Caenorhabditis elegans: one gene and its partner. The protein of the gene in region 1 purifies or fractionates together with the protein of each later gene. This does not show direct contact. Each region holds a gene or a part of one and is shown on either strand. Other genes may lie near its edges.

Region 1 (15,128 bases):
TGTTGAGCCTATTGGTAAGGGACCAAGACGGCGAAGACGGTGTGCGGATAGAGAGATTTCTGAATTAGGTAAATTTTTGGAAAAATTTGCCCTATTAGACGACTCTAAGAGGCGGAAGATTCTAGATAACCTCGAAAAAATATTTAGACAAATTTTGTTCCAACTTTTCCGTATTTGTGGCGACCACTGTTTGTTGAACATATCGCGTCGTTTATTATGTGTTTTTTCGTTACTTTATGCATTCTTTTGGTAGATGAGTGCAAAAAAAAACAGCAAAAGCTTAAAACTACAGCACTCTAATGACACACAAAAACATTTTTATCTAACAAAAATTTGTCGTGTCGAGACCGTGGTTTTAGAGGGCAAAAATCGCAAAATTTGCCGTTTGGATAATATTTTTGCACCCATCTACCGAAAATGTACCTTTTTTGACTAAGAAAGGTATGATAATCATAAAACGGTGAAAATTTACTCTGCGATACGGAGAAGTTTGAGATTTTAGCTAAAACTTGACTGTTTTATTCTTATCAATTTTAACTTTTTAATTTTCAGCGGCCAAACCAAAAGCTGAGGTGAAAAAGGAAGTCATAAATCCGGCTGATATCACTCTGGGCGGAGATACTTATGATTATGTCAAGGAACAGAAGGTAAGATTTCGAAAAAAGTGATTTTCCCAGTGAGACCTGAAATTTTTCCAGCCAACGGAATCAATCGCCACCAACGTTTCTCGTCGTCGCCGAACTTCTGCGAATCTCTCAAAATCTGAAGATGATCGGGACAAGCCGGAAAGCCAATCCACGGCTCCAAAGTCAAAAGAGCGTCGTACTTCGGAGCCGCCAGCGTCCCACGTGGCGTTCCACACTCCAGGATCCGCGACACCACACGACATAAACCTATCCATTGAGCATTGCACCTGTCAGAAGATTTTCGACGCGTCGAAGCTGTATATTCAGTGCGAGCTGTGCGCTCGTTGGTACCATGGCGACTGTGTTGGAGTCGCCGAGCAAACTATTTTGGGTTTGGAGCACTGGAGCTGTGAGGAATGTATTGAGGAGCAGGAGAGAGTCAAGGATCAGCCGGCGTTGTACTGTGTCTGTCAGAAGCCATATGATGATACAAAGTGAGTTTTGTTGGCATAGAAATAAGAGAATAATTCAGGTAAATTTGCAGATTCTACGTTGGGTGTGACAGCTGTCAAGGGTGGTTTCACCCGGAATGCGTTGGGACAACACGTGCCGAAGCCGAGCAGGCCGCCGATTACAACTGCCCGGCATGCACTCGAGAGGCTGAAGGCTACGAGTCGGAAGCGTCAGATGTGTCGGGTTCGAGTCGTGTTAGTGTGCAATTAACGTGAGTTCACACATTGTTAGAATTTTCAGTTTTTCGGAAAAATTTCAGACGCGCCGACTATACTCATGTCTTTGAGCTCCTCGAGCTTCTCCTCGAACACCGTATGAGCACACCATTCAGGAACCCAGTAGATTTGAATGAGTTCCCAGATTATGAGAAATTCATCAAGAAGCCTATGGGTTAGTATTTCCGAAACGTCGTCAAACTTTGCATTTGAAATTTTTCAGATCTCTCAACAATAACAAAAAAGGTTGAGCGCACCGAATACCTGTATCTATCGCAATTTGTGAACGACGTGAATCAAATGTTCGAAAATGCAAAAACCTACAATCCCAAGGGCAATGCTGTATTCAAGTGCGCCGAAACGATGCAGGAAGTGTTCGACAAAAAGTTGATAGACGTTCGCGAGCAAATGACCGCCCGTCAACAGATGCTTCTTCTAGCTACTGCTCAACAACAGGACCCGATGAGTTCTATCAGAAAGCGTGTCCAGTCGGAAAGCCAGCGAACTGTCGACTCGTTGGATATCGATTCGGATCAGCTGTTGCCACTGGATGCGAATCTTATGAGACTTTATGATTTTTGAGATTTTTCCTCTTGTTTTTTTATGTTTTTCGTAGTCACACAGTGACTTTTCACTTGTTACGTTGACAATGTTTTGTAAGAATAAAATTTCTTTTCGATTTTCAATGAAAAATGTTTAAAGCACAGGTTCACGGCTAAATAAAAACGTTCCGCTTTATGTGAAAATTCATGACAAATAATCGAATGGAGCAATTTTTGACTCAAACTATAATTTTTAATTACAACACTCTTTAAAGGCGCACACCCGTTTATTTAACAAAAAAAAAATTGTGTCGAGACCGGGTGCCGTATTTTTGGTGCAAAAATCGCATAATTTTGCATAATTTTTTATAATTTTTAGGAAAGAACAAAAAGCGGCAAAATCGACGAAAAATGTATTGAAAGCGTTTGAATTTGCAGTTTTGCCGCCTTGGTTTCCGTTGGAATTGGAGCGCGATTGCACTTTGGTTTCAAAAATTGGTCACGAAACTACATTTTTTAATGCGATAAGGTGCACACCTTTAAAGAGTACTGTACTCTGAAACATTAATTGCTGCTAAATTTCCCCGATTTTAGCTTAGTTTTTCAATAAAAACTCAAATCTAACAATAAAATGCATAATTTTTACCAAATCGTGAGAAAAACTATAGAAAATCGATTAAGTTTATCAGAAAACTAAATGTTTTAACTACAGTACTCTCTCAAGGCGCACACCCGTTCGTACTTAACAAAAGTAATTCGTGTCGAGACCGGGTACTGTATGTTTGGTGGAAAAATCGGATAATTTTGTGTCTTAAAATTATATTAAAACAAAAAAAATTAATAAAAAAGTTTGAACTTAAATTTTTTATTCCCTGTCCTCCCCCCCCCCCCCCCCCGCCTATCAATCTGACGTGTGATCTTGTTCAAAAGTTTATTTATATATATTTTCGGACCATTCGTATAAAGTTGGATGAAATCTTTTGAAGATTGAAACTTCTGGTCATTTCAATTTTTATATCACTTCGTTACAAAATGGATTCCGATCTGAAAAAAGTTCAAAAGAATAGGTAAGCCGGAGCGGTCTTGGAACGAAGAAACAACTTCTATTTTCAGTGATCAGAAACAAGTTTCAAAAAGCAAAACAGCAACTGCGCCAACTGAGCCGTTTAACAGTAAGGCTACTGAGTTGCCGTCAATTCTCAAGCCGAAGTTCCCGTCGGACAAGGTCCTGAAGAAGAAAAAATCCGGTGACATGTTTGATCTTGTAGGACAGATCGTCATCGATATCGTTGATGATAATCCTGACGATGATGACCGACAGGATGAGGCTACAACGGTGGATACTGTACAAGAAGGAATCGGAGCAACGGTCGATGTAACTCTTGTCGTGAGTTTTTGAGGAGCAGAGAGACATTGTTTTAAATGAAAAACAGTGAGCGCTTTTAAGGAGCACAAGAGTCTTTATTGCATTCAAGTTTTTTTTTAGTAATTGGAGAACATGAATCGAATATGAAATAACCGGGTAAACTAAAATTTCAGGAAGACGTCGCTGAAAAAGCACATGAGCCAGCTTCAACTCCAAATGTTGCTGACCGATTGCAAAAACCAGTTGCAAAAGATGATAATAGCGCTCCGGTAGAAGAAGCAAATAGGAAGAAGAAAGAAGGCAAAGACCCCAAGAATTCAGAAGAAGCAAAGAAGAACAGTAAGAAGGGGAAAAACGGCACAGCAAGACGATCCGCGCTGAAAGGAGTCACTATTCCACCGGTGAGCTATCTAGAAAAGGCCAAAAATTTCTGCACGAAGTGGGATTCGAACCCACGCACCCATACGAGTACCAGAAGACCCAGTAAACCATCCGTGCGGTGAGTAACGTGCAGCGAGCGAGAGTATATGAAAAGAATGACAGAGAGTGAGAGAGCTTGCGTATTCAAGAGGCTCCATAGAAAATTGACGAAAAAACACTGGGCTTTTATAAAAATTTAAATTTCCAGGTAGCAGCTTCTTTACCTTGTCCTCCACCCCCACCTCCTTTGAGTGAGCGGAAGAAGAATGTAGGCCCAAAGCCATGCGTTGGTCCAGCACAGAAAAATTTGTCGAGCCAACGGAAGCATAGCTCAAAACGAAACCGAAAAGGGCTCTTGAGAAATGTGGCTAAACTATGGGGCCGAAAGTCGGATGGCATCGCCAATCCGTGAGTTATTCAAACCAGACTGCATCCCTACCGTGAAACATTTTCAGAACTAAAGCAATGCTGTCGAAAAAGTACGTGCCACCGGATTATGGAGTGAACCCTGTCGATTTCATGCCGGACCTTGAATGTTATTTTAGCAAAAACGACATTACTGTTCGTGATAAAAACAAGTGTAGCAAAGGAGAGGTTTTTGTTGAAAAGCTCCCATTTTGGTTGGCACGACTGCCGAGTGACGATGACATTCCGAAGGCTCAAATTCAGGCTCATCGGCCGCTGAAGCAAGCATTTGAAGGAAATCCGTCATTGCTCCTTCCGAAATGCCCAAGAACACTGCCGTTTTGTGAACCGGACTCTGACACACTGGAAAAGTTTAAGCAAGTTGATAAACAGATGGGAACCGATGTACCTGAACAGGCATCGAAAAGATTGTGTACAAACACTTTTTATGGAACCCTAATGTTTGAAAAAGACAAGAGTGCGTCTGAAGAGGTGAAAAAGAAGGTAGACTTTATTGACTAGCAATATATTTTTTGCGAATTTTAAAAGTTTTCAGAAAGAGGAACCAAAGTTGAAGTCTCTCGGAGAAGAGAGTGTGAAAGTGAACTTTAGTTTCCCTCCGAAACCAATCTTGTTTATTTACTCCAGGTAAGCTTGAGACTAAGCCGAAGCCTTATGATTTTTTGCAGAAAAAATCGACCAAGACCACCGGTGAGAGAGGACGACAAAAGCCACAGCTGCAAAAAGTGCCACCCCAAAAACTTGAAACCGGAGCGAACGTTCAAAAAGTGTGAATGGGTGAAAATGAAGAAGGGCGACGAGAAAAAGACTGTGACCAACTCGGCCAACTCGAAATCTGACACGAAATCGGCTTCTTTTTCAGCAGAAGGACGGAAATAGTACTTGTAGCTTAAAATGAATTATTGAAATTGAGGGGAAACAATTTTTCGGAGAAAAACAGGAACTATTATTTAAATTAAAATATTTTCGAGAAACACAGAAACATTTTGTGTAGTACAGTAGTTAATTGAAGGGACCTGCGCGATGTTTTATGCTGGGTCTCGCAACGCGCACACATATAAAATGGCTGTTACCGTAGTTGTTTAAATTTATTTGCTCCGGAATTCGTTTAAAAAAAATTCATTTTTGATCAGTTTATTTCAATAAATATCTCAATTTTTACAGAAAAAAAATGAGTGCACGTGGCCTGAAAGTTGAGATGTACTACAAATTAGCGGAAAAAAATGAAGCAGAGGTAATTTTCGCGTAAATATGTTTTTTTTATTTGAGTTTTTCAGACTAGCGATGTCTCTATACTTATCGACGGACATAAAAGAAAGTTCGCAGTCATCTGCAATGGAATCGGAAGAGAGATGGTGGATTTACACTATGATTCCAAGAAGTTTCCGAGAATTTTGTAAGCCGAACAATTATTTTGTGTTAAATAAATTTTAAAAAAATCAATTTTCAGTTCCCGAGAACGGCATCTCTACGTGATGTTCAGTGAAAGTACCAGCGATGGATTTCGATTGACATTCGGCGCAACAGAACGCGAACAATTTCTGAGAATCATGCATTCATTGGGATGCCTGCTGGACACCGCAATCGTGAAATTCTCCCAACAATCGAGTTCATCCCAACCTCCACCAATGCGTCGAGATTCTACAGCAGTGTTCAACAACAGCTACAATCAATATACTTCATTTCAACAAGCCTCTCAGCCGAGAGTTTTTTCAACCATTAAATTGGAACTTTCTGGAGATTCGTGCAATTCGGCGTTCCAGCCGTCCCAGCCGACTGGATTTCCAGACAACCAATTATTGACGATTAAAAAGTCCTCGTCGAACCAAATAGTAGGAAAGTACCATACTGTTTTCTGTAAAACTATTTTTCAGTCTCTAAGCGTTGAAGTAGCCGACAAATGCATTCAAACTGAGGATTTGGTCGATTTGCTGGCTGACGATGAGTATTGCATGCGAAAAGCACTGAGGAAAATGATCGAAAACCCAAGTTTTATCAAAGCCGTCGCTGCTGCAGAAAATACACTGCAGTATATTCCACAAGCGGAACAAGAGGGATTGGAAGATGTGAGAATATATTTGTCTAAAAACAATGGAAAGAATGTAATTTTCCAGGTCACCGAACCACCAATAAACGATATATTCTTTGATCGTTTTCATCAACCACAGCTTGAGCAACACGATTCTGTTCCAGAAGATTGATTATTTGGAAAAATTCTAAAAATTTAAACTTGTATCATTTGAATCTGTAAATTTTTTTTCAAGTATATTTAAGAAGCATTTTATTAGAGCCTTCGATTATTAGGAAAATCAGACGGAAAATGAAAATACCGGCTCTTCGCGGACCAGTTTAGCTCGGTCTTTAGCCGACAAGCGGGGCGTATCCTTGAGCTCTGTCCAGTGAAGAACAATTTCCTGATCGGATGGACACGAAACTCGAAACATTTCAGTCGCGTAACCGGCTTTCAGATAGTCGAGTACATGCGATAAATCGGCTGGAATTTCATAGTTTTTCAGCATTTTTGCGGCAACACGGATCGAGTGCAATCTCGTCAGGACCAGGCAATCAATATGCGTGACGTCATCGGAGATCAGAAATTTGGTTTCTTGTTCGGAGAGATACTTGTCGAGACGAAGGAGTTCCGTGTTGAAAGCCTGAAAAAATTTTCTAATTTTTCTTCTTTTCCTCAAACTGATTTTGTATTTCAGATTGAATAAAGAGATAAGCATTCAAGACTATTTCGAGAACGAGCGCCAGAGACATTGGAGCGCGCCGTGTCATGTCGATTTACGAGATTATTCAGTTTTACGACGAGTTTTTTGAAAATTTTTTTTTTTGTGTCAATTGCCCTCCGAAAATCGACACAAAACGACGCGCGTTTAAGTCTCTTGGATGCATAAATTCACGATTTCAAGCTAATCATATTTAGATATTCGGAATCAGGAAGTCTTTTTTAAAACATTAGCCCTTTACCGTATCCCTATGCTCGACATCCTTCACGAATCTGGCGAATTGTCGGAACAAATCACACGTGGCATTCTCCGCTTCTTCATCATCACCTCTCTCGGGCTTCAAGTACTCCAAAAAGTCCAAAATATCGTCCTCCGTCTCGAATGTCTGCGTCTCTCCGCTCTCTTCAGCACTAATTCCAGGCATACGACGGAGTCCAGTGTTTTTGAACTCTTGACTTGTCTTGTTCACATTTGTGGTTTTCACATCGAATTTCATCGTTGGATCGTGTTTTGCGTGGTACAGACAACGCATGAATAGGTGGTGAGCTGAAAATCGAATTACAATCGCGCTCCAACGGTTCGTTTGGTTTTGGCGGCAAACTTGAAAATTCAAACATTTTAAAGCATTTTTATCGTTTTTGTTTCGTTTTCTTTGGTTTTTGATTAAAAAACCACGGGAAAACAGAAAAAAAACTGGCGAAGTCTGCGAAAATATCTGAAAACGTTTGATACTTACCATACGGATCACCGCACGGGTGTACATTATTAGAGCCCGCTGGCAGCCACAGCGAAAAAGTGGGCATTCTCTATTGACTGAAATGTGTGAAGCTATTTGAAGAAAGTTAAGGAATATTGGAAAACTAATTTGCTTGAGGATGACGTGGAAAGTGGAACAAGTGGGAGGATATTGGAGGGTCGCGTGAAAAAATGAGAACATTAAATTTTTTTAATTGAATTTTAAATTTTTTGTAGAATTTTGAATTCTCTTTTAATTTTCTTCGTGTAACTTGGGAAAATCTTGGAAAAAGTACGAAGAGGATAGAGGACGCAGAAGAAATTTTGGGAAAAAGACTAAGTTTTCTATAATTGCCGGTTATTTGATTTTTTTTTCAGATTTTTTGATTAAAAAAATTCGAAATAATTTCGTTTTCGAATTTTCAAAAGGAAATTGAGAAAAAAGGAATGTTCAGAAAAGTATGAAAAATCAATAAAACATTTAAAAATGCTTTAAAAATTGTCGTGTCGGGGCATCGTAACGCATTTTAGGCATGTGCCTTTAAAGAGTACTGTAATTTCAAATTTCCGTTGCTGCGAAATTTTCATGAATTTTATTTATTTATTTATTTATTTTCTCTCAAGGAGATTTGGAGGAAAATTAAAGAGAAAAAGAAAATGATAAGCATACGAATAATCAATTGATACATGCAAGCATTCAGAGCATTCAGATTTCTCATAGTTTTTCGAAAAAAAAATTAATTACAAAACTAAGATGAAATGAAATGAGAAAAACTATGAAAAATTCATGAAAATTCAGCAGAAACGAAGATTTGAAATTACAGTATTCTTTAAAGGCGCACGCCCCTTTTGCATTAAACACTAATTTATGGCAAATACTGTTTTACTACTTGATCTTTTACTACGTATCTCTTTTACTACGACATTTCTTTTACTACGGTATCTCTTTTACTACGAATTCCGCATTTAGATCTTTTACTACAATTGGCTCTTTTACTACGTGTTCTCTTTTACTACGGAAAATACTTTTTTACTACCTCATCTTTTACTACGTGGATGTTTTACTACGTTTTACTCTTTTGCTACGGACGTATTTTTACTACGTGGAGGGATACTGTTGGGTTACTGTAGTGGTATTGTATAAGTAACAGTTTTCAGATTATGTATTATAGTTTTTTTTAAATTTCTAGAAATTTATTCACTATGAAAAACAATAAATTGCTTATTCTATACAAGATTTGATCAATCCAGAAAAAAACATTTTTCAAGTTTTTGATCAAAAGTTTTTGCAAATTTAAAGTTTTTGATCAAAATTTCAGTTGAAGTCAAAATTTCAAACATCTGGCGTATAACTGACCGAACCCGCAAGTTTTTTATTACATTTCAAAAACTTATAAATCAACCGGTAGGGAACTAATTTGTTGGTAACGCGAAAAAAGTTAATTACTCCCACAGTATCACTACAGTAATCCAACAGGATCCCTCCAATAACTCCATCTCAGTATCCAAAAAATAAAAAACTGAAATTTACTAGAACTACTTGTGCACAAACTACAATTGTGACCTATATATTTTTTTAAAATATTCATAGATTTGTTTATATCTAGACTATCCTATAAAAATTAATTTTTAATTCGTAGTAAAAGATACGAAACAAAATATAATCCCTGCCATTGTAGTAAAAATTTTTCTGTTACTTATACAATACCACTACAGTAACCCAACAGTATCCCTCCACGTAGTAAAAATACGTCCGTAGCAAAAGAGTAAAACGTAGTAAAACATCCACGTAGTAAAAGATGAGGTAGTAAAAAAGTATTTTCCGTAGTAAAAGAGAACACGTAGTAAAAGAGCCAATTGTAGTAAAAGATCTAAATGCGGAATTCGTAGTAAAAGAGATTCCGTAGTAAAAGGAATGTCGTAGTAAAAGAGATACGTAGTAAAAGATCAAGTAGTAAAACAGTATTTGCCCTAATTTATCATGTCGAGACCACATAACAAGATTTTAACGCAAAAATCTCAAGAACAACGAATCTATCATGAAAAAAAAGAAAATTTGTTTTCTAAAAATAAAAGTATTGGTAGTTTTTCTCCATTGACACAAAAAACCAAGAAATGAAATTATGTGGGTTTAGAGTCAAAAATGGAACAGAAAAGCGTCTAAAAAAGGGTGTGATAAGTGGTCAGTGATAAGCGGAAAAAGTGTGTTTGAACTAAAATGCCAAACAATATAATTTCGGAGTGCGTGGGAACACAAAATGAAAATTTCTGCACCACAACTCAATGCTTATACATATTTGATGATTTTCCACCAAAAAATGATTGAATTTTCAAAAAATTAAAGTATGTTTGTGGCAAGTAAATAAATATTCATGGAATTCTTTAGTCTATAATTCGCGCTTTTGGGTGGAATGAAATAATGATTGATAGGTTTGGAAATGGGAAAAAGGGAACTCGGAGTTATTGTTCGATGCTTTATGTTCGATGCTTTACTCTCCAGGAATCATATGAATGTGATAAACAAGTGATCAAACAACCGGAGAGAGGGAGAATGGCATAGAGAGAAAAAGGTTTTAATAACTGAGAGAAACCTGAGGATTGGCAATAGCGGAGTGATAAAATCTAACGATGCCTTCTTTACAATTCCAGAAGATAGTTTGATGACTTCGAATAAAATGTTGTGAAGGTGTGGAATGCAGTTTTGTTGGGTGTTAATGAAAAGGATAGTTATGCATTAAAACATTCCTACCATGTTAAAAATCGGCAGTTCCGGATGAAAGTTAATATATTTTTTTAGTCACAGATTCAAAGGTGGAGTAGCGCCAGTGGCGAAATTGTCAAAAACCACTCCTATGGTGCCAAAATGAGCAAATAGAATACATCTGTTTCAAAAATGGCAGTTACTCAATTTCGGCAATTTGCCGTAACTGAGAATTTCCGGCATATCTGCAAACCGGCAATTTGAACATTTTTGGCAAATTGTGCTTTTTCACATTATTTCTGAAAGTTTCACAATTTCAATTTTAATCGGAAAATTTGACGCACCCTTTGTATGTTTCTACATCTATTTTGAAAAGCAAGAAAATTGAATGAAAATATTAAAGAAAACTTGAAAAAAGTTTCAAAAGGCAGTTGTAAGTGTTTCCGTCTTATAGAAAGTCCCCTCAAATTGATATCAGCAATTAGCCGAAAATGAACATTCCTAGCAAATCGGCAAAGCGGCAATTTGACGTTTTGCCGAATTTGCCGAACGGCGATTGCCGCCCATGCATATTTTATTTGTTTTGTTTTTTTTTTTTATAAAAAAGGTTTTAATGTGATATTTGGTCATTAAAATTAACCGCTGGCACTACTCCACCTTAAGCGTATTTTCGGTTTTTCTGTGCAAAAAATAAGACAGGCCAACTGAAAAAAGATTTTCTGGGAAAGGTTTTCGGGATAAAGTTTTCGAAAGTTTGTCAAAAGTGTGATGTTTTTACAGCAAACTTAAATATCGTTAATCTTTTGCGAAAGTTTAATTAAAAAATTTAAATAAAGTTGTAATTGAAAATGGTCAAAACATTTGTAATTTTTCTAAAAAAAACAAATTGTTCCTTGGTTCATAAATTATTATAAGATTATTTTACCAAAAGTACACGTGTTTATATACAAAAACCAATTTCTCAACAAAAAATTAATAATGAGTGTAATCGATACTTGTGCTTATTCTTTCGTGAGGGAGCAGCATACAAAGTGTGGGCACTTTGCTCCTCATTTTTTTCGGCGAGAGTTTTTCTTTTTCATCTCTTCCAATTTCAATGGTCCAGGTTCTCTCAAGGGGTGATGGAAAAAGAAGAGGCGAGAATTTAAAGGGGAGGCTTAGAGAGGTAGAGATGAAATTATGAAATTTTTTTTTTTGAAGTTTCAATTGAAAAATTATAATTTACTATGAAATTTGTTACAAAAAATGTGGTATTTAAAGGTTTTCAAATTACGAAATATTCCAGTGTGTGAAATGTGTTTTTCCTCGATTGAAACAGTAGAGAGTGTGTAATTTCAGCCAATTGATGGGCGTTGCTCTATATCCCTCTTTTTTAAACTCTTTTTTCACTGCATACTCAAATTTTTTTCTTAGACAAACATGTTCAAAAGTTTTATTAGTTCGCGTCAATGAATACCGTTAATTTGTGACGTCCATAGGGAAATGGCCTTAATGAACAATGTAGGCCCTCCATGGTAGGCCGGTGCGGTGTCAGGGCCGGACACATGCTTGAAACTTACCCGCCTCACGCCGGCCTTACGTTAATTTACAATTTTCTACTTTTCTCATTTATTAATTTGATGAAAATCGAATTAATAAATTGAAAAAAAAGTTCACGTATATCTTTGCATAAGGCGCGGATTGAGGCAAGAGGCAGGAGGTCGCCTTAAGATCAGGCAGGCAGTTTTACCGCCTAGATGGAAGTACCTAACAAGGATATTGTTTGATGTTCAGTGAATACCTGGTATTTTGAACCAACAAGTTTCATTCACAAGTCGCAAAATTCAAAAAATCAAATAATGATAGTGGAAAGACAAGAAATACCTGACGGGAAAACAAATGGGGGAACCGTATAAGAATCGAGATAGAATTTTCTGAAGTAATCGCTTATTCATAATCAGAAATTGTCGAATAAATATGATTGTCAGTCTCCAAGCAAACATGGAGAACTTGTGAGAGTTTTTGAGGCAAACGTTGTTGGCTGAACTGCTCATTTGAGGATAACAGTTGGGAAATGCGAATTCCGTTTCCTCGAACCCAGGACAGAAGTTCGGAGAGCGCTAGGGAAGATCCTTTGCACGTGGACACATCCTGGAAAATTTACTAATATATTATGTTAAGCATAAAATTGCTCACATTGGCCATGTTCACCAACTCCGTTCTCAACTCATCCATTCCTAGTGGAGGACTATTTTTGACTCGCTTGAATAAGTCCACTGAAAGGGGCCGGAGCCTCGCCACGTCTTTTGCAAAAAGAAGTCGAGATGACGGTGAATGGGCTCCGAGAACAGGTTCAGAGAATGAGAAGCAATCCATCTGAATTTATTTGTCAGAAAATAATATAACAGAAAAGTGATTCGCTCACCATAGTTTGCGCTACTGTACTCAAGTTTGCATCCATGGAAATAGAATGAGGAACATCGAACACCAACTGCGGATTTCTAACAAAATTGGCCCAAACTCTGAGAACGTAGCCATTAGCCTTCCATTGCTGACAAATATTTTCAGAAACTCCGTTCACTGAAGCTTCACGATCCAAAATGTCAAAGAAGAATTTTAAAATTGGCGGGTAGCTTGAATCGTGCATGTATAGTACGGATTCTAGGAAGTCTTCCACATAAGTTTCTACTGTTCCCTTTGAAGTGAGCAACCTTGTTAGGTACACTTCTGGAATAGATTTGGGTAGCAAATTGCTGTCGTTTGAAGATTTCTTCTTGAAAGTCATAGTTCCAGATGACGGATTTGTTAGGTGATAGTATTTTGAAGATGAATAAATTGGAGAGCATCGATCTAACGATGACCAGGAAGATTGTCCAGAATCTGCGAGAGAATCTGAAATTTTAAGGGTTATATTCAAATTTTGTTTCTTCAATTAACTCACTTCTATAGCTTTCCGCTGTATAAACCGCTGGAGACATTTCCAGCGTACAGCCATCACTGATACCGTAATCTGCCAAAGTGAACAACTTTACTGGTAGCTTTTTCTGCGATAACGTCTCAATTGGCAAAACATCGGTCAGTTTCACATCTCCCCGTTTGGGACATTTATATTCTGAAAAAAAACTGATTGAAGACACATATGGGATTATTTATGACCCACTCAATTCGAACTGCGTTATTCTCGGTCGCTGTGAATATGGTGTTTCACGATAGACAGCTGAAGCAACTTTTTGTTTGACTTGACAAATTGCGTCGCATGCATGAACTTCAAGATCTATTGATTCATCGCATTTTTCAAATGGAATCACACGAATTTTCTGAAAATTAACCAAAAATAGCATATCAATTAGACTTGCTTTCCCTTTTCCTGTGGGATCAACTGTAAACGTTTCAAAACTGAAACAAAGGTATGTTGTTAAAATGAATTATATATTTTCTGATTAATCCAGGTTAAATAACTATGTAAATTTGTTACATCAATTCACAATTTTGTGGAATTTCTACCAAAATTCGTTTCTTCCGATAATAAAATTTAGTAGCCGTTCATAATAACCGTTGATTCTCTCGTAGTCTAGTAAACTTTGAAATAATAGGAAAATATTTTCTCACTATTTCATCTTATATACTACGTTGTTATTTTACTAACCCGGGTATACTCAAATTTACTAGAACTACTTGACTACAAACTACAAGTGCGACATTTGTATTCACTATATTTGGGTAATTATACTTGGAATAAATTATAAAAATGAGTTTTGAACTCGTAGTAAAAAACATCTAGTAAGATACAATAATAAGATACAAAGCGTAGTAAAAAAAATCACCGTAGTAAAAGATACATTGTAAAGTTAAAAATCATCTTTAACCTCTATGAGTTTAAACACTTGTGAAACTTTTTATAAAACCTTGAACATTTGAAAATTTGAAAAAAAGCTCACCAAAGTCTTTGTGTCCACACTCTCCCTTAACAATTTGGCCTCGTTAATCGTATATCTCGCATCACCGGTCACCGCGTCCACGGGTCCTTTGTCAGTTTGATATTGTAGCGCCTTATATAGATAGAAGTACGAGTTCATTTGCGGAGTCAAATGGGAGTACAAACAAATGCTCATCCACTTTGAGAACATTTTCTCCACCACCGAGTCACTATTCCGAAACAGTAACTCGGCGCGCTTATTTTGAACCGATCTTGCGATATGGGCACGTAGAAGGTCCACAACAACTTCAGTGCAATAAGAGAAGTTTCGAAGTAACACAGATATCAGGAGGCTTGCTAACATTGACTTCTCTGATGTTGATATGGAGACATCCGATTCTGCAGCTTCTACGATAGTGAAAATAAAGCCTTTGAAGCTCAGAAGTGCATGAAATTGAGCAAGAGTCACTGGGAGAGTCCTTGCCAAACTCGGCGCAGATGTAAGGTTGTTATCAGACCAGAGCAGGTTCTCCACAAAATGCGGGAAGTTGATGAGTTCCGGTCCAAGGTTCACAGAATTTGCAGACTTTGGAGATAGTACTAGGTTTGTTTGAAGTTCAGCGAATGCTTGCTTGCATTCTTTACGAACATTGTTTTCAAGATTTTCCATTTGAAGCTGAATCTTTCGGTATTCTTTCTCTCGTTCTTGACGCCTCCGCTTGAAAACCAAGCACATCACAGTCAACGTGACAACAATGAACAGAAGTAGCCCAAGAATCAAAAGTGATAGTCTGGACGGGAGTGCATGATCGGAATACTCAATCAACCCAAGCTCCATTCTAAGTGATCCAACTATTACAGTAACCAGCGGGTTATCCCCATTAATTGGAATTCCTCTTTCATCGGTAGCTTTTGGTTGCCTCACCGGTCCCGAGCACACCAATTGCCTAACATCTA
Region 2 (15,717 bases), on another chromosome or scaffold:
GCACTCTCCGATCTCCTCAAGGAAACTTCCGTGGTGCAAGAGTTCTCACCAATGAGTAGCTTCACAACATTCGGAGCTGCAAACTTTGAAACATCATCAATCCATCTCTGAAGACTTCCAAATGATTGCTTGCAAGTAATGTCATAACACAAAACAATTCCATTAGCAGATCGATAATATGATTGAGTAATCGTTCGGAATCGTTCCTGGCCTCCAGTATCCCAGATTTGCAATTTTACACGCTTTCCGTCTGAAAATCATCGATTTTTCGATTTTTCGTTTGAATAATAAATTAGCTTCTTCTTCTCTAATTCTCACCAACGACAAGAGTTTTCATTGTGAAATCGACGCCGATAGTGGTTCCCTGACGATCAACAAATGTTCCATTTCTGAAGCGTTGAACTACACATCTGTAATATTTTAAATTAAAAAAAAAAACTTTTTAAAAACCCGAAAACTTGAATTCCTTACGTCTTTCCGACTCCCATATCGCCGACAAGCACAATTTTGAACAAATAGTCAAATCCATCATCGTTGTCCATAAATATTCCTAACGATTGAGCCTGAAATGACGAGAATATCGAATTATTGAATGCAGGAGAAGGAGGATATATAGAAAGCGGTTCTTCAGAAGAAGAAGAAGAGCAATGTCACTGGGTGAAGCAACGAGAGAGTGCTCCGGTGAAAGAGTTGCAGACGGCAAGAGTGTTGAAAGTAGTGTGCCCCGCTCTCTACGTTTACCCATTTTTCGTACTATTTTCTGAACGAGACGACGACGACATTTTCGCATGCACGACGCAACAAAAATCCATTCCTCCATTCAAAACTAGTACGAAATTGTGTGCTGCTGCCACCGTTTCAGTAGTGTATGTGTGTGACGTTACTTACTTTTTAGTTTTTTCTTCTACATTTGCAATTCCAACTAGTTTTGCAGGAAAAAGTTGGCGTTCGTCACTTTCCACACTCCCAGAGGATTAAGAACGCGGGAAAATCTGAAAAAAAAGAAGTGTTTTTTTGAAAAGAAACGAGCTATGTCCCTTTAAAAATTGTGTAGATTTACGAGCTCGTGTACTATGCGAGGACAACAGAGCTGAATTCGAAAAGACTTTTCCAAAAAAATAAACCAGAAAAACAATTTAAAAAAAATGTTTCTGTGTAATTTAAAAAAAAAGATGTAAAATTTAATATTTTAATAGTTTTTTCAGTTAAAAAGTTAGCTTTTTCATACTTTGCGCAACTTTTCTAGCAAAAAAGCGAAAAATACATTTTTTTAAACCAAAAACTCGAATATTTTCAGCACGGGTGTACAATTCTGAACTTATTCGTTCACATTTAAAATTGCCAGACTGACTATTTTATGAAGAATTTTCCGTTGAAATCTATTTTTTATGCGTTTATAAGAATGAGTGCCTCTTTAAATGTTGTGTAGATTTACGAGCTCGTGTACTAGGCGTGAACAACAGGGCTGAATTCGAAATAATATTTCTTTTCCGGCAAAAACTAGAAAAACAAAATGTTTTAAATGTTTCAGTGTGATTTTTTGAAAAAAAAAGTAAAATTTGACAGTTTTAAAGATTTTTTGGTAAAAAAATGTCGCTGTTTCGTATTTTTCGCTAATTTTTTTCTCGCAAAAAAGCGAAAAATACAATTTTAACTCGAAAGCCTTGGATTCTACCGTTTTCAGTTGGTTTTTTCAGCATTTCACTTATAAAGTTGCCCAAACTACATTTTTATTACCCTATAAAATAGATATTGGAATTTTGATTTAAAATGCGCACTTATATGCAGGAAAAAGGCGTACAATCGCCAATTTTAGCGAAAAACTGTGAAATCCTTCAGGAAAATAAATTTACGCAGAGTGCACAAGCTCGTAAATCCACACAAATCTTAAAGGGACATCCATTTCTCTCGCATGCGGCTTCTTTCGATGTTTTGCTCGTTGGAAAATGTCGAAAAATGCCGGAAAACCACAAAAATTAATGTATTTGATGAAGAACTCGTACGTTGCATTGCAAACGAGCACATCACTCTTGTACTTTCCGCTGAGCTCTCCAATACTTGCGTTCTCCGGAACTTTCTCTGACAATCGAACGAAAGAGACGACGGTGAAATAAATTCCGATATTTCGGCTGCTGCTCACTGCAATTTCCTGTTCAGTAGTGAATATTTCCTTGACACTTACACTTGAGAACATCCCGACCGGAGATGACAGTCGAATGGAGAAATGAGAGCAAAATGTCGTCTGGAGAGAAACGAAGAGCATTTTCTAATTGCTTCGAAAGCCCTTTTCTGGCTTCTCGCATATTCTCAACAGCATCTTTCACCGCCAAATTCTCCATTTGATCCCATTTTTCATCAGCTAGAAAATGAGAAAGACTGTGAATGCCTTTATTGGCTCCGTGCACCAAGCTCTCAACAGTGAAGCTTTTCTCGTAACATAATGTGTAGAAGGACTGCGCGAAGAGATTTCCAACTCGACGACTCAACTCAAACGTTGGAACTGATACTTGTGGAGTATCAAACACATATGAACGATTGTTGGAAATTAATGGAACAGCCTAAATTTCAGAAATTAATTGTTTGCCAATTGATAACAACGCAAGTTTTACTTACATTGGCGATTTCCGCGGAGGTACTCGCCGTGCAAAGATTTCGCGGTGATATTCTCCTAATGGCGTGTGAGCATTTGAGCATTTTCTAAAATGGGAAAATAGAGAAAATTATGATAATTCTATACAATTTAGTAAAAATTAGAACAAAAATATCGGGGAAATCATCTTAAATCGAGACATAAAGCAGAAAAAAAGGAAAAATACTCTGCAACGTACTCTGCAACAAGTGTGCGGCGTTGTTGCAAATCTTGTGTGCTAGGCTTGCAAGAAGCAAACGCGCTCCATCGAACGCAAGCCAATTTCAACTTAATTCTTTATTGGAATTATTTTCAAATCAATTTTCCAGTATTCGACTATTTTCAGAGTTTGTTCATGAGCAAAGAAGTGATCAAGCCAAGTGCTGAAAGCTATTTGAACAAATTATACGCAGATTTATTCCATCTTGTGAACTCGTAAGTTCGGAATTTGTAGTTATTAAAAAGAAACGAGGTTAATTATTTCAGCGTGGAGAAAGGAAGCGGTTCTGAGCTTACTGTTCGTCTTCGAAACGTCGAGGCCGACATCGCAAGCTTCAAAGACGCTCTGAAATCGATTCCCGACATCGGCGTCGAAGAGTACAAGGAAAGACGGAAAATCGCCGCGCTCTACAAGCAGATTGAGAAGAAAGATGAGCTCCTCGACGAACTCGCAGCCTTCAGCCTTGATGGTGAATTATTTTCAAGAAGATATTAATATGTTTTAAGCAAGAAAAATGATTTTTTAATTGATTAATTATTTCAGCAGCCCTCAAAAAGCCCGACGGAGAGCAGAAGCAGCGTAGTGAAAGTGGAGACAAATGAGAGCACATACATTTGTAAAATCTGTCAAACTGTTGTTATTCTGAAGAATATGACTACTGAATATCTCGACGAAGAACGTGATCTTCCATTGCCACGTCAAAAGAAAGGAATCGATCATACTCAGACAGAGCCGATCCGTGGATTTTTCGGAGTCAAGGATATGTTCGCTTTTGAAAATGTTGGATTTACAAGATCTTCTGAAGGCAAACGAGTGGGTTTCAACTTTTTTTGAAATCTAAAACTTTAAAATCCCAATTTTCAGTATCTGGTGTGTGGTGAATGTGAGCAAGGACCAGTCGGTTTCGTGGATCCAGTCACTGAAATGAACTATGTGAGCCCTGAACGGCTCGATGTGCTTCCTGATGTTGCTGCTGCTGCTGTGGAGGCTGGAAAGTGAATTGAGCTTTCCGGAATGTGTCAAAAATAATTTATTGATTTTTCATTTTTCATTTTTCTGTAATTTGAATTTTTTACGCGAAATTATACTGCTGGAATGAAAAAGTGTGTCCGTGTATTATGCTCGAAAAATTAATTTTCTGATGATTCAAATGTTGATTTCTCAATTCACTATTTTCTTTCTTTTTATTATTTTCAAACTTTTAGTTTTTCAAATTTTTTTCCAGATGGCCACCGAAAAGAAAGAAGTGACACTGTCTGCTACAGTCGAAGAGCCACTCGATTTGCTCCGTCTCAGTTTGGATGAGAGAGTTTATGTCAAAATGAGAAACGACAGAGAGGTTGGAAATTATTTTATTTTGGGATTTTTTTTGTGTTACAAATCTCGATTTTTCAGTTGCGCGGTCGTCTCAGAGCTTTCGATCAACATTTGAACATGGTTTTATCGGAGGTTTGTCGTTGTTGAAAAGTTTTAAAAAATTGTAAAACTGTTTAAAAACTGAAACTTTGTGAAAGTATCTTAGTCAAAGAAAAATGCGAAATCCTAGACAATTTCTAATTATAGGTTCTACCTCTCCTCGAAATGGATTTGAGAAAATTCTTTGAAATTTTAAAAAGAAGAAAATCGAAAAAAATACAGTTTAGCTTAAAAAAACACAACTTTTTCCAAAAAAAAAAACTACAAAAAAGGCCATAATTCTTTGGAGAAAGCTTTAAATTTTCAATTTTAAAGCCGAAAAATAGGAAAAAAAACAATTTTTCCAAAAAAAAACTCCAGATTATCCGTAATCCCCTAGAAAATAGATTGAAACTATATAAATAAAATAGAAAAACAATACAGTTTTAATTCGAAAAAAACCTTGTTTTCCAAGAAAAACTTCAAGAAAAAGGTACCGAAATCTGTGGAAATATTTTTAAGTGACTTCAAATTTTTCCCTGATTCCGAATATCGAAATGAAAAAATTCAAAAAAATGTTCTCTGATTTATTATTTCAGCTTGAAATCGCTTGTACACCCATGAGATTTTTGAAACGCCGAATTTTTGCGCCAGAGACGCCATGTGTCGATTTACGAGATTTGGGTATATTTACGAGATTTTCAATCTTTATCAGATGCTGATTTCGGTTTTTCAACGAGTTTTCATCATTTTCGTCGGTTTTCGCCAAAAAATGTTGTTAGTTTTTTAATAATATAATGTTTAATTGACCTAAAAAAACACATTTTCAAAAAAAAACTTTAGAAAAAACCGACAAAAATGAAGGAAACTCGTTGAAAAAAGGAAATCTACATCCGATAAAGATTGAAAATCTCGTAAATCTACACAAATCTCATAAATCGACACATGGCTGGCGCGAAAATTCGCCGTTTGAAAAATCTCATGGGGACGCAAATGAAAATCGCGATTTTAAGTTGAAATATAAAATCAGGGACTTTTTTTTGAAATTTTCCAATTAGATATTCGGAATCAGGAGAAAATTTGGAGTCGTTTAAATATATTTTTCAGATTTCGGTACGCTTTAAGTTCGCTTTAAGACCGTATTTATTGCGCAAAATATCGCATTTAACTAATTATGAGGTCATTATTTAGAACCTGTTTTCACAAAATTCTGATCGTAGTTCAATAATCATCAAATTAAAAAAAAATATTTTCAGGTTGAAGAGACAATCACCACCCGTGAAGTCGACGAAGACACATTCGAAGAGATCTACAAACAAACAAAACGTGTTGTTCCAATGCTTTTCGTTCGTGGTGATTCTGTCATTCTCGTGTCTCCACCGATTCGTGCATCCTAATTCATCGTCATCATTTTCTCGCAATTTTAAATTTTTCTCATCTTGTGATCTTCTAAATCTAAACACACACATACGTTATTTTTGTTTATGAATATTTTTCGGAACTCTATATCATGTGGTAGAAGATTTATGGCACAACAAGACAAAAGTTTGCTGGTACATGAAGGGAAAAATTCACAGTGAGAGAAAAAAAAAATAGAAATACGCTAGTAGGTGATTAGAAAATGATGCTCAAAATGCTCAAAACCGCACAGTAAAGCCAACTGAGAACGTGTGGAAAATATATGAAAAAAAAAGAAAAACGATATGTACAGATACATGAATTATCTACTCGTCGTCAATATCAGACTCATCATGATCGAGATCTTTCCGAAGAACATCGAAATCGGTGACGTACCATTTGGCACGAGCCTTTACACCTTCTCTAATGACATTTCCACCGAATCCAATGAATGCATCAGCTGGGGGTGAAGCTTCAACATCGGTTGCTCCGTCACCAACCATCACAACTGTTTTGTAGTTGTACATCTTTTTCAGAAGAGCTATCACAGCCGGTTTGCCAGTCTGAAATTATTTTGATTAAAATTTGGAAGAAAAACTTATAAATAGAATTTTTTTTGATTTTTTGGCTTCAAAAATCGAAAAAATCCTAGTATTTTTTTTTAAATTTCAAAATTTGATTTATTGGAATTTTTTTCGATTTTTAAAGCAAAAATAGTTTTTGGCTTCAAAAATCGAAAAAAATGAAATTTTATTTTATTTAAATTTTGAAATTTAACAAAAAAAGAGTAGTATTTGAAATTTTTTGGTGAATTTTTTGGCCTTTTTAGGCACTTTTTCAGCTAATAGGCATGTAAAAATGACTAAATTTTGGCTTTAAAAGTGAATAAATCGAAAAAACTAGCATATGCAAAATACGAGATTATTTAAATAAAAAGCTAATTTACTGGACCAAAAAGGTTGGTAATTGAAGATTTTAGCTAAAATTTATTTTTTTTTAATTTGAAAAGTCATAATAAATTTTGAGCTTTACACATAATTCTCATGAGAATTTCAATTTTTTCGTTCTAAAAACGATTTTTCAAAAAATTGCAAATTTTGTTTTTGCCAAAAATTACAAAAAAAATCGTTATAAAAAGCGGAAAAAAGGCCAAAAAGTAAAAAATTAAAAATTTTTCGTTTTTCGCAATTTTTTTACAAGAAAAAAAGATTTTTCCTCTAAAAAACATTCACATCCGATGACAATTTTCGCTAATTTTTTGACTAAAAAGTGTATAATATCAATTTTTACACATTTTTTCGTATTTTTTCAGTTTATTTTTCAGAAACTCTTTTGGAAAAAGCCTCGCAACTACTAAACATTTTTTTTTGTCAATGAAAAAGTAAAAATGCCAATTTCGCAGGTGACTTTTTTTTTGAAAACGAAAAATAATTGTTTTTCGTAAAAAAAATTTTTTTGTGTGTAGGAAGTGTATAAATTAGAAAATTGTATATTATTTTGTCTTTTTCAAGAAAAGTATAATAAAAACTTTTGGGAAAAAACTCGAAAAAAAGCATTTTCAAAATTTTCAACTGAAAAATCTCAAAAAAAAACATTGATAATGCAATCGCGCTCTAACGCAAATTTAATCCAATTAACCTCTTTGCTTCCCGAGTCACTCGTCAATTCAGAAGTATCAAATCCGTGATATTTTCCGAATTTATCGAAAAGAATCTCGTTTGCATAAATTCGAGATTTCTCAATTCCAAGAAGTTCAGCAACTGGAAGAATAAGTCGTCTAAATCCACCAGAGACAAGATATACGTGAGTTCCACGAGCATGAAGACGGCTCACAAGTTCTCGAATTCCAACAGTGAGCTTTGGTTTGGAAATATTCACAAATTGTTCAAGTTGCTCGTGATTTGGTTTCATTACCTGAAGACGGGCGGCAAGAGCATCTCTGAAATATTATGAAAATTTAGAAATGAGATTTTTAATTTGAAGTGTGTGTGTGTGTTGTTTATTGGGAAAAATTAGAGAAAGGAGAGAATTGAAAACTCAACTTTCACTAAAATTCACACAAAACAACAACAACAACACTTCGGTCAGAAAGCCACGGGGGGAATGTGAAGAAAAGTTTGTGTCATGCATGTTAAAAAGGAAATTTGAAAAAAATAAATGAAAAATCAGGTTGGCTGTGGATTATGGTCAAGGATGTCGGTTTTTCGGTTTTTTTAGCAAAAAAAAATCTAAAAATCTAAAATTTCCAATTTTTCAAAAATTAGCTTCAAATTTTGGCTATTGTTCCTATTTTTAGAAGACATTTTTATGTTTTTTCTTATCAATTTGAACAAAATTAGATTTTAAAAAATTATGTTTTATGCTTCGAAAAGCCAAATTTTCTGCTTTTGTATTTTCGGTAAAAATTGTAATTCTTCAATTTTTCCAAAAAAAAATTTTTTTAATTTTTTTCCAGCTGGAAAAGTGAAATTTTGATTTTGACATTTTTTCGATTTTTCGGAAAATCTTAAAATTTTAATTTTTTTTATATTTTTTCGGAAAATGTTGTATTTTTCCTTATTATTTTTTAAAATTGTATAATTTTAAAAACATTTCCTCGAAAAATCAAAAAAAAATTCGATTTCTCGAAAATTAACTTAACATTTTTTTTCACAATTCAAGAAATTTTCCAAATAATTTTCTTTCAGAATGAGCAAAAGCTGATAAGAATTCGAATTTGGCCAAAAAATTTTTTCCTATTTTTTGAAGAAAAATTTTCAATTTTCTACGTTTTTCTGATAAAATTTTAAAAAAAAACCGAAAAAAAATGCGCAAAGATTTAATAGAATTGCTCCGGAATTTTTAAATTCTGTTTATTTCTGAAAAACATTTTCTCACATTGAGACCCATTTTGCTAAAAAAAAAATAAATAAAAAAAAGGAAATCAACAATTTTTCGAAAATTATCTTCTTTGTCGCTTTTTTTTAAATATTTTAGTCCGGAAAATATCCAATTTTTCTTTTAATTTCTTTTTTTTCTGAAAAAAAATTTAGAAAAAAAAATTAAATTTTTTTTTTCGAAAAGCCAAATTGATTTTTTCTGTTTGTGTATTTTCGGGAAAAATTTTAATTTTTAAATTTCTCGAAAAATTTTTTTTTTCCAGCTGAAAAAGCCAAATTTTGAACCGAAAACCGTCTATATTACACAGTCCAATTTCTAACCTTCAAAAATCATTTCCACACATCAAACAACACAAAATCTATGATTCAAAAACATTTCTTCTTCACACTTCAAAAAAAACAACCCGCGTGCTTTCATTTATTACCTATACCTGAAGCGGGCGTTGCCGTTCATCGCCGTCCGTGTCACATTGGCGACGGCTTCACCCACACCCAGGTAGGCAGCAAGCTCATCGATTCCCTCGTCCTGGCATACTGTAGAATCAACGTCAAAGCATACAGCATCAGCTTTTCTCCATACTCTTTTCACTTCTTCTTCATGATTTTTTGAGATTGTTTCACCCGGTGATGTGGATATGGATCGAGGGATTGCCGACGCTGTTGTTGGTAAAGCGACACGGATCATTCTGAAATTCAATTGAAATACATTATGGGAATAGAGAATTCTATGAAAATGGAAGAACACAGCCATGTGTCGATTTACGAGGCCTGTGTATTCCTCGAGGAGGATTGCACCAGTTTTTGGATAAAATCCCTGATTTTGTATAATTTTCGCTGACTATTTATTTTTGTATTCAACATTAACAATATTATATCGATTTTTCTCTTTTTTTTTGATGTACATAAATATTATTTTTTTCAAAAAAAGAAAATACAAAAAAAATTCGATGAAACTACAGTACTCTTTAAAGACACACATTTTTTCGCATTCAGAAAAAAAAAACATTGCCGTGTCGAGACCAGTCATCGTAGTTTCGGCGAAGCGAAAAAATTTGCATATGGGTAATATTTACGGAGTTTTCAAATGGAAATCGTCCGATTTTCCTATAAACCACTATAAATAGGAATAAGGAGAAATTTAGACTTTAAATAATATACAAATTGGATCTAGAACGTCAAATCCCGGAAGAATTCGCGAAAGTTAGCTGAAAACTGGCATCCTCCTCGAGGAGTACACGAGCCCCGTAAATCGACACATGGCCGTGTTAGAGATTTTACACGGCCATTCTTCAGAAACTAGTAGAAATGGAAATAAAATGTACAAATGATTGTATATCATTGTATATTTATAGCCTCTACTATTCAGGAAATAAAAAAAAGACTGAATGGTTCGATGACGTGGTAGGGACTGAAAAAGGGTGTCAAAGAACTAATTGATAAGGCGAATGATGGTGGGTCTGATACAGTATAAGAAAACAGAAGAGACAGATACGAACAAAGTACGCATTTTGAATGAAATCGGGTGATAAGTAGGCGTGCCTTCTAGTGTTCTCTGATCACGTGATGATCTTCAAAAATCATTTAAAAAAGCAAGGGATTTCCTGGACAGAAAAAGAATATAATTGTCTTCTCTTAAGCTAGGCTGTCCAAGACAAAAGTCCCCATTGAAATTTAATAAAACTAGTTGGAGGTGAAAATGATGGCAAAAAATGAAAAAAAAAAGTGTGTTCAAAACACAACAATGGCTAGTGAATTGATAAGATTAATTGATAATGGGCAAATTTTGGGAGGCATGCCACAGAAAAATGTTCAAAGTTCTTTTTGAAGTGATAGAAAGTTAGAGATTAGAAAGTTTTTACATCCTGGGAGTACTGTAGTTTCCAAAAAAACTACAGTAACCCGCGAAGAGGGGACGGTTTTTTGTTGGTATTTGGCAAATATTGGGTTTGTGTTATTTCCCACAAAAAAAAAACAGCAAAAAAACAATCGTATTTTCAAAAAAAATTTTTTGAATTTTTTTGCCATATGGCGTCAGACTGTCCCATAACAATATGATCTACCATAAATGCGGGAATTGAGACACAGAGTTGTCAACAAGTTTCGCACGGTTAAGTGCGTTCTGACGTCACACTTCTCTGGGCGAAAAATTGCCGCATTTTTAGTAGATCATACCGTTATGGGACATTCTGACACCACGTGTTTTGTTAGTTTCGACCCAAAAAAAAACGAAAAAATTCGATTTTTTTGAATATTTGTTTACAATCGTACTCTGTGTACTCCCCGAGGAAAAGTTTGTATTTATTTTTTTTCAGCAGGCGATTTTACAGTTTTTTGGTTGCTCAAAATACAAAATTTTAGACTATTTTTAGATTTTTTTTAAATAAACAAATGGTTAATTTGCAAAATAGGAAAAAATGTATTAAAAAACACACTTCTTCTCGAGGAGTACACGAGCTGCGTAAATCGAAACAAGGAAATACTGAGAGAAAATTATTACTATGTAAGAGATTTTCAGTACTTTTATATGACATTTTCTAGCGTCTAGAAGTTGTTGATGCAGAACTAAAAAAGTCGAAAAAAAGAAGAGAAAAAATATTCTTCTTGACGTCAATAGTTCACAAATGATTTTCAAAAAACGGGCTGCTCTTTGATGATACTTGAGGCTTCCCCCCCATCCCTCTGATCAAACAAACTTTTTCAATATATTTTTATATTGAAAAGGAGAAAAAAGATAGAAAGACTCAGAATGCATGCTGACAAATAACAATTTTTAAAGGAACAAAGTCTGATGTCTGAACATTTAAATGTTCGAGCAGCCAAGTCCAAAAAAATTGAGTCTTAAAGTCCAAAAAGACTAACGTTTTGAGAATGAGTGAATGGAAAGGTGACATGTACTCTTATTCTGTGTCCACCCCACTCTGTCTATAATATAAACACATGCACGGACGACTTAATGAATGAAAGAGATACACGAGGAGGAGGCGGCAACGTGCGGTACAATGCGGACGGACGGAGAAAGGTGATTTCTGGTCGATGACGTCGAATGCCACATCATTTTGCAAGGGGGTGTCACTACGACGACAAAGAATTGGTGAGGTTTGTAATGTTGAAAGGGAGAGTTCTAAACGAACTGGTATACTGTCTTTGAAGGAGGACGACGAGGAGGAAGAGGAAGAAGAAGAAGCAGAAGTCAGAGATGAAGATTATCAGATAGATTTTTATTGTTCCAGTTTTCAAGGTCTTGATGGGAAAATCGGAAAGTCTTGGAAACCCAAAGACCCTATGGCCTTAAGGGACCAAGTAGATCAATGGAACGATTCAACAAGAGTTCCACGAAAACTTGTGCGCACTCCCCGATTTATATACCAATTACGGTAGCATTATGGTGGTGTACGTGCTTTTTCCAACGAAAAACCATCTTCGAGGCGGGCCGAATAAAGCGGGGGGTTGTTTCCCCGCGTCGAGACGCAGAGGCGTCACACAAATTGCCGGCGCGAGGTAGTGCTGAAATTGTGGAGGCGCCCCCGGGGAGGGCACGCGTTGTTCACGTGTACTTTTTGATGCTTCTATACTCGACAGATTGCATCACATAGATGGAGGAATTGCTGACGACGACGTTTCCGTGTTTGGTTTCAGAAGCGGCATGTTTTGAGGCGGCAACTGGTCCCCGAAATATGCGATGGAATTCGGAAATCATTGGAGATATGAATATGATGTCTGATTTCTGGGAGACGGTGAAATATTTGTACCTAATCTAGATCCATAGAAATGGGGAAAAATTGAAAGAAATTAGAATTTAGATCTATAAAAAATGCGGGAGAAGAGACGCAGAGTTCTCAACTGATTTCGCATGGTTAAGAACGTGCTGATGTCACATTTTTTTGGTGAAAAAAGTCCCGCATTTTTTGTAGATCAAACCGTAATGGGACAGCTTGGCGAAATTGCAAATTTATAAATTTTTCCGTCATATTAAAGATTTAAAGTATCCGCAATATATTTTTAAAAACTAATTTTCTAGAGCTGGAACTTCGCGAACTTTTAAGCCTATATGCCTACAGCCTGGCCGTGTGTCGATTTACGCCGTTCGTGTACTTCTCGAGGTTACGATTGAATTTTATGTTTAGTATAGACTTTTTCGCGGAAATGCTCGATTTTGAACTATTTTCGTCAATTTTTTTCCTACATATTAAAAAATTTATATTATTTAATGGTAAAAATTACAAAATAAGTCAATTTATGTTGGAAATATTGCCAATTGAAAAAAAAAGCGAGCTGCGTAAATCGACACATGGAAATTTACATGGCCGTGGTAGAGGTTTTTCACGGTCATCTTATCATTCTGAAATTACCTCTCGTTTCCGAGATAGTCTTTGATTTTCTAATTTTTTTTTTCAAAAAACCCCTAGGTATCGTCTACTTTATGTTCTCAAATACCTGTTCTACCCGGATTTCCGTTGACAAAGATCAGAGGACTTTATCATTCTATTGATAGCAGTGAACCATCACTACAACATTTCATGGGATGATTCCCCCCAAAAGAACAAAAAAATACGAAAAGCGCACATAATTGTCATCATCCGAATATAAAATGTGAAATGAATGCAATACGTGACTTTTTGCAAGTCACAATTATAAATATTTATCATTGTTTTTTTTCATCTCGCAAACAAATATACACACAGTACTGTCACGTAAGAGACTCCTCCGACAGTCTGTGATGTAGTTATTATCAGCTGCTGATACAGATAAAAGGAACTGGAACTCACATTAAAGTGGCGAGGAATAAATAGTACTGCTGCTGATGCTGCTGCATTGTACGATTTTCTAACAGAGTATTGGAAGTGATAAGTCGAATTTATATGTTATATAGTGGTTACTCTCGCGTCCAAATAAGAAAAAATCACTTTTCAAAAAGGAAGAAGAGACACCTTCGTGTGTCATTGACAAGAAAATCTATCAGAAAGTAGTAGAAAAAGATATGAACTTTCAGTTTCCCGGTTCGTGTATTTTGTGTAATCTAGGAAATTGGAAAATCTACTTTTTGTTACTTTGAAGGCTGAAATCAGGGTTGACGGGCAACGATTTTTCCGGCAAATCGGTAAATTGCCGGAATTTAAAAGTTCCGCCAAATTGGCAAATTGCCAAAATAGAAAAGTTCTGGAAAATCGGAAAATTGCCGAAAATGAAAAGTTCCGGTAAATCGGCAACTTGAAAAACTCCGGCAAATTTCCGGCAAATCGAAAATTTGTCGGGATTGAAAAGTTTTGGCAAATTGGCAAACCGGTAAATTGCCGGAATTGAAACGTTCCGGCAAATTGGGAAACCGGAAAATTTCCGGCAAATTGGCAAATCCGGGAAACTTCCGGAAAATTGCCGGAATTGAAAAGTTCCGGCAAATCGGAACACCGGCAAACCGGCAAATTTCCGGTAAATTGCCGGAATTAAAAAGTTCCGGCGAATCGGCAAACTGCCGGAATTGGAAAGTTCCGACAAATTGGCAAACCGGCAAATTTACGGCACATTGCCGGAATTGAAAACTTCCGAGAAATTGGCAAACCGGCAAATTTACGGCAAATTGCCGGAATTGAAAAGTTCCGTCAAATTGCCGGAAACAAAGAGTTCCGGCAAATTGGCAAACCGGCAAATTTCCGGAAAATCGGGAAATTGCCGGAATTGAAACGTTCCGGCAAATTGGGAAACCGGCAAATTTTCGGCAAATTGGCAAATTGCAGGAATTGAAAAGCTCCGGAAAATTTTCAAAATTCTGGCAAATCGGCAACTTGAAAAACTCCGGCAAATTGCCGGAATTGAAAAGTTCCGTCAAATTGCCGGAAACAAAGAGTTCCGGCAAATTGGCAAACCGGCAAATTTCCGGAAAATCGGGAAATTGCCGGAATTGAAACGTTCCGGCAAATTGGGAAACCGGCAAATTTTCGGCAAATTGGCAAATTGCAGGAATTGAAAAGCTCCGGAAAATTTTCAAAATTCTGGCAAATCGGCAACTTGAAAAACTCCGGCAAATTGCCGGAATTGAAAAGTTCCGTCAAATTGCCGGAAACAAAGAGTTCCGGCAAATTGGCAAACCGGCAAATTTCCGGAAAATCGGGAAATTGCCGGAATTGAAACGTTCCGGCAAATTGGGAAACCGGCAAATTTTCGGCAAATTGGCAAATTGCAGGAATTGAAAAGCTCCGGAAAATTTTCAAAATTCTGGCAAATCGGCAACTTGAAAAACTCCGGCAAATTGCCGGAATTGAAAAGTTCCGTCAAATTGCCGGAAACAAAGAGTTCCGGCAAATTGGCAAACCGGCAAATTTCCGGAAAATCGGGAAATTGCCGGAATTGAAACGTTCCGGCAAATTGGGAAACCGGCAAATTTTCGGCAAATTGGCAAATTGCAGGAATTGAAAAGCTCCGGAAAATTTTCAAAATTCTGGCAAATCGGCAACTTGAAAAACTCCGGCAAATTTCCGGCAAATCGGAAATTTGTCGGGATTGAAAAGCTCCGTCAAATTGGCAAACAGGCAATTTTTAAGCAAATCGGCAAATTGCCGGAATTTAAAAGTTCCGGGAAATTGGCAAACCGGCGAATTTCCGGATAATCGGGAAACTGCCGGAATTGAATAGTTCTGGCAAATTGGCAAAACGGCAAAATTCCGGCAAACTGCAGGAATTGAAAAGCTTTGGCAAATTGGCAAACCGGAAAAATTCCGGAAAATTGCCGGGATTGAAAAGTTCCGAAAAATTGGAAAACCGGCAAATTTCCGGCAAATTGGCAAACCGGCAAACCATTTTTAAAACTCACAAGTACGCATAAATGAGCCAATGAGCCAATTCAATCATCGTCGGCCAGCCAACACAGAGCACAGATTATATGCCGAAACGGCAAATTTTGTGAGAAATGGAAATCTTTAGCCTCGCGATGACATTTCAGAGGCAGCAGCTGTTATTTGGAGCCCCGCACGTGGTGAGAGTGAGAACTCGAACAAAATTTAGAGAGGAGGAAAAGTTGTTGGAAAACGATCAAAGGTGAGTGTGGAGAAACGGATATGAGTAACCGGAAGAAGTTGTTTTTTGGAGTAAAGTAAAAAGAAGTTGTTTTTTGGAGTAAAGTAATTTAAATTCCAAATATTATAAAGACAACTACTGAATGTAATATATAATTCATCTCATCGTTAAAAAGATTGCAAAATCAA

The links.
Region 2: the proteins of exl-1 (region 1) and lsm-3 fractionate together in Caenorhabditis elegans (co-fractionation; one large-scale study listed by BioGRID). This does not show direct contact.

Annotation. Positions count from the first base shown.
Region 1 is NC_003280.10:14,405,823-14,420,950, forward strand, and holds exl-1 (Chloride intracellular channel exl-1), read right to left. Parts: upstream 7,654-15,128; 5' UTR 7,644-7,653; coding exon 7,577-7,643; intron 7,387-7,576; coding exon 7,082-7,386; intron 6,763-7,081; coding exon 6,418-6,762; 3' UTR 6,380-6,417; downstream 1-6,379. Other genes in the region: nurf-1 (DDT domain-containing protein), read left to right, coding at 553-647, 699-1,120, 1,171-1,350, 1,399-1,529, 1,578-1,936; F26H11.4 (ULP_PROTEASE domain-containing protein), read left to right, coding at 2,929-2,963, 3,010-3,283, 3,436-3,663, 3,891-4,090, 4,138-4,591, 4,644-4,735, 4,777-4,987; dsb-2 (Double-Strand Break factor), read left to right, coding at 5,280-5,342, 5,386-5,504, 5,559-5,940, 5,983-6,174, 6,223-6,309; plx-2 (Plexin-2), read right to left, coding at 12,203-12,406, 12,452-12,631, 12,681-13,147, 13,197-13,367, 13,416-13,572, 14,194-15,128. UniProt on the Caenorhabditis elegans protein: Probable chloride channel.
Region 2 is NC_003282.8:13,383,395-13,399,111, forward strand, and holds lsm-3 (U6 snRNA-associated Sm-like protein LSm3), read left to right. Parts: upstream 1-4,074; coding exon 4,075-4,188; intron 4,189-4,244; coding exon 4,245-4,298; intron 4,299-5,500; coding exon 5,501-5,641; 3' UTR 5,642-5,749; downstream 5,750-15,717. Other genes in the region: rab-19 (Ras-related protein Rab-43), read right to left, coding at 50-250, 319-410, 472-542; Y62E10A.20 (Tim44-like domain-containing protein), read right to left, coding at 923-992, 2,004-2,139, 2,183-2,558, 2,614-2,694; Y62E10A.23 (Mediator complex subunit 9), read left to right, coding at 2,985-3,064, 3,116-3,318, 3,393-3,451; mdt-9 (Guanine nucleotide exchange factor MSS4), read left to right, coding at 3,280-3,318, 3,393-3,662, 3,714-3,848; Y62E10A.13 (Phosphoserine phosphatase), read right to left, coding at 5,969-6,205, 7,281-7,581, 8,947-9,272.